Callithrix jacchus: one gene and its partners. The protein of the gene in region 1 purifies or fractionates together with the protein of each later gene. This does not show direct contact. Links are inferred from orthologs where the notes say so. Each region holds a gene or a part of one and is shown in the gene's direction. Other genes may lie near its edges.

Region 1 (3,649 bases):
TCGGGAAGGGGACTGCCCTCATGAATTGGGCTCTCCATTTCCAAGACGGGGGAAGGTCAGGGTTCTGCACCCTGCACTGGCTTGAGATGTGGGCTCCTTAGCCTGGGTCCCTTAGCTAGTTGCGTCCCTTCCTCTGGTTCCCTAGTCCAGAGCTGTCCAGACCCTGCTGTCTATGGTGTGGTACAGTCTGGCGACCACATCGGTCGTACCTGCATGGTGAAGTGGTTCAAGCTGCGGCCAAGTGGGGACGACGTGGAGGTGTGTGCAGCCCCTACTGCTTTCTTCAGCTGGGCTCTGGGGTTGGGTGTAGGCCCCTAGCTCATGATGGCCTGTCCTATGCCACAGCTAATTGGAGAAGAGGAAGATGTGAGTGTTTACGACATTGCTGACCACCCTGACTTTAGGTTCCGTACAACTGACATCGTTATCCGCATCGGCAATACTGAGGACGGGGCTCCTCACAAGGAGGATGAGGTAGACCTTCAAATTCAAGTTCTAGATCGCTGCTCCCTGCCCTATGCAGCAGCTGCAGTCCCTGATGCTGCCACCAGGTGGCTCTAGGAGACAAGACCTGAAAGTCCTCTGGCTAGTTGTTACTAGGAGAGCAGCTGCCCCAAAGTCAAGCTGCTGCTCAGCCCTAGCAGCTGCAGAAGGACTTGTTTCCCTGACTCTCTGCCGGTGTCAGGCTTCTTGAGCCGCTGCTGGTTACGTTTACCAGAGGAGCTAAGTTCCTTGTCACAAGCTGGGTGGGCATGATGTCAGTCACTGCAGAGCACAGGAGGGCTGGGGAGCTGGGGCTGGAGCTGGGCTCCCTGACTCTGTCCCCTTTGCCCAGCAGCCATCAGTAGGCCAGGTGGCCCGTGTGGATGTCAGCAGCAAGGTGGAGGTGGTGTGGGCTGACAACTCAAAGACCATCATCCTGCCCCAGGTGAGGCTCTGGCAAGTCCCCCTGCTGGGCTTGTGACTATGGCAGCTGGGGCTGGGGCCACAGTCAGGTAGCCTAAAGGTGGGCTCTCGGGTCTTCCTGGTGAGATCTCAGTGAAAACCTGAGGAGAAAGGCAGTCATTCCACACAGCCCTGGTTGCGGGGTTGGGGTCAGCCCACAGGTGGCCCACCAGCCTCACTTCTCCCATCCATCACTGGGTGCATGTAGATTTTCACAAACCTCCAGGATTTTCCTGGATTATCACTATGCTAAGAAGAATGTAAGTTCCTTCCTAAAAGGAGATGGAGACTTTCCTATCACCCTTTCTAGAAAGCTCTAACAGCAAAGGAGAGAAAGGAGAGAGCTGGCCCCATTCTAGCCCCAGCTGCTGGGTCCTGAGCTGAAGGGCCACACGGGCTCTCCTTCCCTCGCCTCCCTGGCTGGAGCTGCATGGCCCAACTCTCCTCTCCTGGCTCCTGCATAGGGGGTGGGGATGGGGCAGAGCAGGGGCAGGAATGGCTTGCCCCATCACCTTAATGGTCATTCCAGGGAAGGCAGCAGGATGTGCTGGCCCTTCCGCACATACTCTCCTAACGTATGTTCCCAGCTCCCAGTGCAGCCCCACATGGGCCTCCCTGCCTGCATCGTTAGCTGACCCTGAGCTTTTCAGGTGTGGGGCTGGGCCTGCCAAGGTTGCCTGCCTTCTTGGGCAGATGCTGACCAAGTGTACAGAGTGGGAGGGGAGGCTGAAACAGACCACTGGCTGGGGCTTTGGGTCCAGCTTGGGGGTGGGACAGGTGGAGGGCCTCTCCCAGAGACCTAGGGACTGCAAAGTCCAGAGCACAGGGTGGGGAAAGAGTGGAATGAGGTTGCCAAGGCCTCATGAGCCCAGTCCCCATCAGCTGTGCAGATCAGGGATCCCCAGAGCTCTTCCTTTGTGGTAGGGAGGTAACTTCCTGTCTGCATTACCCTGGCACTTCCCTTCTGCCCCCAGCACTTGTACAACATCGAATCTGAGATTGAGGAGTCAGACTATGATTCGGTAGAAGGCAGCACCAGTGGGGCATCCTCGGATGAGTGGGAAGATGACAGTGACAGCTGGGAGACGGACAATGGGCTGGTAGAGGATGAGCACCCCAAGATAGAGGAGCCCCCCATCCCACCCACGGAGCAGCCTGTGGCCCCTGAGGAGGACAAGGGAGTAGTGATCAGTGAAGAGGCAGCCACAGCCGCTGTCCAGGGGGCTGTGGCCATGGCTACCCCCATGGCTGGGCTGATGGAGAAGGCTGGCAAGGACGGGCCTCCCAAGAGCTTCCGGGAGTTGAAAGAGGCCATCAAGATCCTGGAGAGCCTCAAGAACATGACCGTGGAGCAGCTGCTGACGGGCTCGCCCACCTCTCCCACTGTGGAGCCTGAGAAGCCAACTCGGGAGAAGAAGTTTCTGGATGACATAAAGAAGCTACAGGAAAACCTCAAGAAAACCCTGGACAATGTGGCCATTGCAGAGGAGGAGAAAATGGAGGCAGTGCCCGACGTAGAGCGCAAGGAGGACAAGCCCGAGGGGCAGTCACCTGTGAAGGCCGAGTGGCCCAGTGAGACCCCGGTGCTCTGTCAGCAGTGTGGTGGCAAGCCTGGCGTCACCTTCACCAGCGCCAAGGGCGAGGTCTTCTCCGTGCTGGAGTTTGCACCCTGTGAGTCAGCCTTTGCCCAGTCTTCACCTTCCCCTGCCTTCTCGGGGCTCCTGTTTGTGTCACCAGATCTGGGTGCGGTGGTTAGGTGGTTAGTCCTCACTGGCCCCCAACTTCTGGCCCAGGGCAAACAGTTTCCCTGTATGGTTACAGTGCTGAGGCCAGCGAAGGCGAGTGGGAAGTCTGTGGGTGCGCTCACCTATCCAGCCAGGTTTGCAGATGGAGAGCTCCAGGGCCTCTCCATGAGTGACTGACTGCTCTCTTTCCTCTTCTAGCAAATCATTCTTTTAAGAAAATTGAGTTCCAGCCTCCAGAAGCTAAGAAGTTCTTCAGCACAGTTCGGAAGGAGATGGCACTGCTAGCTACCTCACTGCCTGAGGGCATCATGGTCAAGACTTTTGAAGATAGAATGGCAAGTAGGCTTGGCATGGGCAGGTGCAGATGTGCTGTGTGGGTGCCCAGTGCCCAAGAGGCCACCAGCCTTGGGTCCTCAAAGCTCCAGGGCTGACTGGCACCTGTGAGGACACCCACCCACCCACCTTTTACAGGGGCGGTCACAGGCACAGCCAGGTGAGGGCTGGCGGAGAGCCATGTGTCCAGGCCAGATGGTTTTCTTTTCTCCCTTCTTTAAAAAATGAGTTTGAAATTAATTATATTATGAGTACTCCTCAAGCCTGCTCTTCTTTTTGGAAAAATTAGAACATTACAGATCCTTTGAGTGGAAATAGAAGAGCTAAAGTTGCCTTTGACCGGCTCTGACTTCCCTTTTTTCCTGAATCATAGGCCTCTTCCCACACCCAGAGGACTGCTGGAAGTTTAGTGGGTCTCCTTCCAAATGGATGACCACGGATTACCTTTTTTATGTATTTTTACATTTTTTATACATTGAAAAAGTATTTCGACATGTTCATGTATCACCATGAGTACAGAGTGTTTTGTATGATTTGTTTACACCGAGTATTTGCCTTTTGTTGTTGTTGTTGTTGGAGATGGAGTCTCACTCTGTCGCCACGCTGGAGTGCAGTGGCCTGATCTC
Region 2 (2,656 bases), on another chromosome or scaffold:
AGACTTTTAAGATACTTAAGAGGAAAAATGGGCCCCAGATGCATGCGTTTCGAAGGCCCACAACTGGGAAAGTCACGTGTTCCTCGCGTCCACCATAGGCTTATGCTGCCTGACCCCTTGGACCTTTGGTCATTTCTCTTAGCTTCCCTAGCCCATTCCCCATGGGGAGCTGGGGGAATGCCCCTTCTCTCAGGCGCCCATCTCGTGCTCCCAGGGAACACCCCATCTCCTCCCTCACAGGGGAAGTACACATTGCCTCAGCTCCTCCATGCACCTTAGGATCGCTCTTGTCCTGACACTGGTGTCTTTAGATGACATGTCCTAAAAGTAAACGTGGGTAAGTTGAATGACCTGAACCTCCATTCCTCAGCTTCTGAAAAGCAGGGATAGTGCCACCCATCTTAGCAGTGTGTTGAGGGTGCAGAGCCTGCTGGCCAGGACTCACCGTGCCTAACATGTACCTTGCCATCCTTGTTCTGTGGGCTCATACTTTGAGTTCCTCAGATGAGGTAGAGGGCAGGGGAGGGGCTCCTCTTACTGTCACCTCAGTCTGACCACATTCAGGACACTTGTTATAAAGTACATAGGTGAGTGAAGAATAAGTCATGTAAGCCTTTACTTGATCAGTCTCCAGGCTGTATTTTTTTGGCCTGTTCCTCCCTTCCTCCTGGCCTCCACCCTCCCATGCCTCTCATGTGCCCCTGGAGGAATGGGCCCCCACTTCTCCCTTGCGAACCTGTGCTTCGGGGCGCTGTGTCTTCACCTCCTCCCTTTATCTCCCTTGATAACTTTCTCTCTTGCTGCTTCTCCCATGGCTCACCTCTTGCCCCGTTTGCCATTCTGCTCCCACTTTATACTCCTTCTAGAATCTTGAGGTGAGTTGTCCTGTCTCTCCAGCCCTGCTGTGCCGCTGCTCCTGCTTTGTGCTGGCCCATCAGGTTCAGGCGTCCAAATGGCGGCTCCTTGGCTCGCCCTGTCTCTGGTTTCTCCTGACGGTCGCAGGGGTCTTCAGGGTTACTCCAGTCCTCTTTCCTTCTTCCCTCACATCCTTCAGTCCTGCCTTTTCAGACCCTCCTTTCTGTCCCGGTTTTCTGCCCCCAAGCTGTGTTCCCCGAGCTCCTGCCGTGAACTGTGGCCTGTGCACTGGAAGTCCAGGTGTTGCTGCATCACTGCACGGGTAGAAAGCGGCTGCTTCCTGCTGCTTAGCTACTTCCCAAGGAGGGAACAGGCTGCTCGCTCGCCTTTACATCTCCATGCCTGGCCCGGCCTGCCCTATCTTCCCATTAACTGCCGTGGCCCTGGTGGATGTCGAGTGGGGACTTGTAGTTAGGAAGGTGGAGCCTTTGAGGGAAGGCATCCGAGGCCACCAGACTCAGAGGGAAGCTTGCCATGGATACATGTGGGGGCCAGCCCGGGCAGTGTCATCAATTAGCTCATAGCTGCGTCTCCACCATAGGGTCCCATTCAGGTTGTTGAGGCGGGCAATGGTGAGGAAGAGCCGGGCATGGGTACTGGAGAAGAAGGAGCGGCACAGGCGCCAGGGCAGGTGAGTGCCAGACTGGGAACTGGCAGGGGGGGATGGTGGGGTAGGGGTGGGGGTGGAAGCCTGTTGCCACTTGAGTTCCCTTGCATTTGAAGAGTCCAGGGCTGCTTGGATCTTTTTTTCTGAGATTGTCCTGTTCCTTTTCTGCACAGGGAAGTCAGACCCGACACCCGGTACACTGGCCGCAAGCGCAAGCCCCGCTTCTGAGTCAGCATGCGGTTCTGGGCAGGCGCTCGCCTCCGTGGGTTTCTATACTGACGTGTTCCGTTGCCAGTAGTAGTTGAGAAAAGTTCTAAAGTTCTGAAAATGTTTCCTGCAGTAAAAAAAGTTCTCTGGGCTGGGCATGGTGGCTCGTGCCTGTAATCCCAGCTCCTTGGGAGGCTGAGGCGGGAGGATCATTTGAGGCCAGGAGTTTTAGACCTGCCTGGGCAACATAGTGAGACCTCGTTTCTAGGGGCAAAAAAAAAAAAGCTCTTTGTTTAAAAACAAGAAGTAAAAATTCCTTTTGTGAAACTCTGGCATCTCCCAGCTCTGCTTCTTAACAAACTTGGGTTCCTCTGTTGGGCTAGTGCACGACTCACCAGGCAGTTACTAGGTTTAAAAAACTTCCATACATGAAAACATTCTTTGAATTTGCAAGGAACAGAGTCCTTTAATTCGGGGCTTCCATGACTATAACATCTCACACTAAGCTAAGTGGGGAAGAGGGCCTGGGTGAAATGTTAGTGGTGCCTGCTGGCCAGTCTGGTTTCCCTTGCTGTGAAGGCCATGCCAGTCCAGCAGCCCCAGCCTCACCTGTTGCAGTGAGCTGCACAGTCAGCTGCCAACTAGTCTAGTGCTTGATGTCTTGGGCTGATCTCTTGTCCCATTGCTAGTGGTTGGAAAGGGCTGGTCCTGCTCTGGGGTTGTGTGGGACCATCCGGCAGGCTGTGATAGAAGAGGTCCACTGGTTGCTTGAGCCTTTTGGGCCATGTGGGAAGAGGGGGAAGATCCTGGGCGTTGCGGTACAGAACTGGATCAGGGCTGCGGTGGCTTAAGACATTGGGAGTGGGTGCAGGAGCCAGAGGGGCTGGGTGTCTGGGAGAAGGGTGGGGCTTGGGGCATGAGGATTTA
Region 3 (3,680 bases), on another chromosome or scaffold:
GAGGTACCGCCCGGCGGCGGACGGGATGGAACTAGGGATCTGGGAGGGCGCAGGAGACAAGGACGGCCGGGGCCCACGGAGTGCCGTGGCGCCCAGTGTCTCGTGAGGGTCCGAGGCGAGCCGGGGAGGGTCCCAGGGGAAGGAACCACACTCCGGGTCTCCACCGCGCCCCCGTCCCATTTAAAGAGGCGGAGGAACGCAGGGCGCCTGCCGCGCGGAGGAATATTTGCATACGGCGCGGCGCTTCTTCGGAGGCTTCTCATTGGCTGCCGTCTGCGGCGCGAAGCGCAGTTGACTTGCGCCGCGCTCGCCCAATCGCAGCCGGTCTTGCTCGCGGAGAGAGGAGCCAGGAGCCTAGGCCAATGGGAGGCGGCGTTGTTGGCGGCCACGGCGGCGCAGCTCTAAAGTGAGCGAAGCCACGGTCGCCGCCACTGCTGCAGGAGGCGCGAGGTGCGGAGACCCCGGCACTGGGCGGGTAACAGCGCGCTGGAGAGGGCGCCCGGGCCGGGGCTGGCGGGAGGGGCCGAGGGTGGGCACGGCCGGCGGCCCTCGAGGGAAGCTGCGGGGCGCCGGGCAGGGGCGGGGCCGCGTCCTGGTCTGGGCGGACGGCGGCGGCCGCGACGGGCCTGGGGTTTGGAGCCTGGAGCCCGGGCCTGGGGCGCTGGCGAGCCGCCCCTTCCAGCCTCTGGGGCGCCCCGCCCGGCCGCCCGCCGCCCTGAAGGTCAGGGCGCTTTGTTCTGCGCCGCGGGCGGCCTCCTGGGCGGCGGCCACGCGGAGGAGGCGAAGACGGCGAGAGGCGGCGGCCGCTCAAATCTCCCGCTAGCCCGGTCCGCCCCGCGTGCGGGGGCCGCGGCGGTTACACGGCAGGGCGCGCCGGAGCGTCCAGGCTTCCCGTTTTTAAGGTGGAGACGTCCAGGTCCTCTCGGTTAGATGTTTGGGAGTTTGAGCTTTTCCGTGGGGCGATGGTCGGGCTGGGCTCCGCGGGGCTGTGGCAGTAAGTTTCGTGTGACCGAGGGCACGTCTGACGGGGAAGAAAGTCCTCGGCGCCGCTTCTTAGCTGTGGGGTGCGATGGGCGGCGTGCGCTGCCCGGGGACTGGCCTCAGCCTGTTACTCACGGGACGCGCTTTACTAGGCAAGGTGGGCAGTAAGTCTTTTTACTGTTTTAAAATCGTCTTTCACGAGGGAAAAGCGAACTCTCCGGAAGAAAAATAATTGTAGGTGTTCTGGATGGGAAAGTGCCATGCTTTTCTTTCAGTTCACAGATGGTGAGTGAGGTCACATTTGACATGACCAAAGTCTTTTTTTTTTTATTTAAATTTTCCCTTTCTGAATGTTCTCCGTTCACCCCAGCGGAGGATGGCCTGGTCATGGTAAGACTTTCCACCGTCCACAGTTCTCTGATTGCGGTGCAGGAGGCAGACAAGTTTAGGGTCCAGTAAAGGGGACTCCAGCCGTGGGACCTTTAGACCCTAACGTGTGTCACATCACCTGTGTGGGTGACTCTGCGCTCCTCTGGCAGGAAGGTCCGCCATTTCATCCTGTTGTCGGAGGAGTCGTGCCCATTCGTCTGTGCTTTGGTTCACATACCCAAGTCTGCCTTCCTTTTTCCTGTAGTAGTCCCTTGCCTCAACTACCTGCATTTAGGTATACAGTATAAAAATAGACTTTTGAAAATTCTCTCACCTTAAAAATACACAAGTATGTAGATGAGGTTGTTGGACCTCAGACGTAAGTCTTTTTTAAGTTACTGCCCTCCTGCAGTAGTAAATACGCCTCTAAATGACTAATGCCTGTTCACTGCGCACTAGGCCTCCAGCCTGCTTCCGTGTATTAACTCATTTCATAATCCAGTAGTCTGTGAGATCAATACTATTGTTTTTCCGTTTAACCACTCTGGAAGCTGAGGCCCTGGGAGTTTACGTAGAATGACTTGTCCAAGCTTAGATAAAGACCCAGGCGGTTTTAACTTTACCCAGGTTTACCGCTTCTGTAAAGGGAATGAAAAAAGTTTTAAAGAGAAATTGTTTTCATCATTGTACTAAGCCTAACTGAACTCTAGCTTGTGAGGAGTTGAGCTGGTTGATCTTTACCATCTCGAAATTATATTATTCCACGGAATGCCAAATGCCTCCCATAGTAGAATTTTGAGATTCAGACTGGGATGAGCGATTGCTGTCGGAATAAATAATACGCAAATGTAGTAAAATGAAGTTCAGAGAAAGGAACGGGGTGATAGCACCGGGATGTATTCCAAAGATTAAATGAGTGACTACAGAGAGAAAAATTAGTTCTTTAATAGTACTTCACCAGTTACCTAGAGACATTTTTACTAGAATTGTAGGCCTCATGGTGTGACTTTGTGACACCTGACTGCTGTCTTAAATAGTTGTTACTACGTATACACTTGCAGTCTTTTTTTCCTGGCTGAGCAGTTACTGCTTCAGAATGTCTGCAGTTACTTGTGCCTGTGTATCATAACATCTTAACAGTTTGTAAATCTGTTGTGCAAGCCTTAAATCCTGTACTATTTTTCAAAATGAACATAATTATTGGGGAAATTGGTTGAATTCTTTGCAGTAGCAGAGAAATTTTAATCATTTTTAAGTTTTACAACCTTGGTAGACTGAATTCTGAAACGTTTACACGTGTTTTAGGGTGTCCTCAAAATGTACAGGATATTGCGTTTGCAGATGAGTCATTAGACATCAGATTCTTCTGTAGGATTTTGAGATTTTTACCCACATGAGGTAGTTCTTACTTGTATGGCGGTTAAGTACCTGGGGATAGGATGTGTTCACCCCTTTACAGTATGAATTTGAACTTGAAACTGAAATGAAAACACTTTCGTTAACCTATCAGTTTTTAGTAGCCTTTTGTTATTGATGGCATATTAATTCCTTGTGTTGGCTATTTGCAGCTAAGTGTAGAGATTGGAAGCTTTGTTCTGTTTTTCTTTTGAGCAATTGATAGTCTCTAGCATCTGGAGGAAGTGACCTCAAATATATATGTATATATAGTAGTGCTTTTCTTTCTTCCGTTTATTTGTCTGCAGTTTAAAAACTATTGTGATAAGTTTGTGTTGTACTTCCAAAAATTTTGTGAAAGGGCCTAAATTTTTCAATTTGTTTTGGAAGAAAAGTACTTTGTGGGCAAGAAGGTGATTTAAATTCCTAATGGCCTGAGAGCCATCAGCTGTGTGAAATAGGCAAATGCTGATACTGCTGGGAAGCAATGGTAGTTTATATTTGAATGATATGACAGCAGGGATGAGCTTGCTGGGAGTTTGGCCTGAGACTGCTAGCTAAGGAATACTTACTTTTTGTTTGCTTAAAGGAAAACGTGTTTTAGGCATCCAGAGTAAAAAGCTGGTTTTACTTAGTTTGATTCTTCGATAGGAAGTAGCTGATCTCTGCAGGAAACTGCTCTCATCCGGCCTCAGCTTAATTTTTGTGGGACCTCTGAGGTTCAAATTTATGCCTCCCGAAACTGCAGCTGTAAGGTTTGTCTTTGAGCATATAGTAATGGAAAGCTCTTCTCGAGGGGGAGATAGTAAATAATTTTGTGTTTGACTGCTGTGAAATTTGTAAGAAGTAGTTTGTGATGATTGGTGTAAATTTGTTTTCAACTGGCAGCCATTGGTTTCCCGTTCTGCCTCTGAGAGAGAACGGGCTGCTTTACT

The links.
Region 2: the proteins of UBE2O (region 1) and BUD23 purify together in Homo sapiens (affinity purification with mass spectrometry; 5 studies listed by BioGRID and IntAct, counting the BioPlex papers as one, with this or other methods). This does not show direct contact. The link is inferred for Callithrix jacchus from reciprocal best matches to the Homo sapiens genes UBE2O and BUD23.
Region 3: the proteins of UBE2O (region 1) and NAP1L4 purify together in Homo sapiens (affinity purification with mass spectrometry; 3 studies listed by BioGRID, with this or other methods). This does not show direct contact. The link is inferred for Callithrix jacchus from reciprocal best matches to the Homo sapiens genes UBE2O and NAP1L4.

The regions. Positions count from the first base shown.
Region 1 is NC_133506.1:132,289,210-132,292,858, reverse strand, and holds part of UBE2O ((E3-independent) E2 ubiquitin-conjugating enzyme), read left to right. Parts: intron 1-145; coding exon 146-258; intron 259-345; coding exon 346-474; intron 475-835; coding exon 836-928; intron 929-1,919; coding exon 1,920-2,616; intron 2,617-2,888; coding exon 2,889-3,025; intron 3,026-3,649. UniProt on the Homo sapiens protein: E2/E3 hybrid ubiquitin-protein ligase that displays both E2 and E3 ligase activities and mediates monoubiquitination of target proteins. Negatively regulates TRAF6-mediated NF-kappa-B activation independently of its E2 activity.
Region 2 is NC_133503.1:9,994,168-9,996,823, reverse strand, and holds the end of BUD23 (18S rRNA (guanine-N(7))-methyltransferase), read left to right. Parts: intron 1-1,456; coding exon 1,457-1,546; intron 1,547-1,695; coding exon 1,696-1,750; 3' UTR 1,751-2,056; downstream 2,057-2,656.
Region 3 is NC_133511.1:128,856,504-128,860,183, forward strand, and holds the start of NAP1L4 (nucleosome assembly protein 1-like 4), read left to right. Parts: upstream 1-854; 5' UTR 855-962; coding exon 963-994; intron 995-3,680. UniProt on the Homo sapiens protein: Acts as a histone chaperone in nucleosome assembly.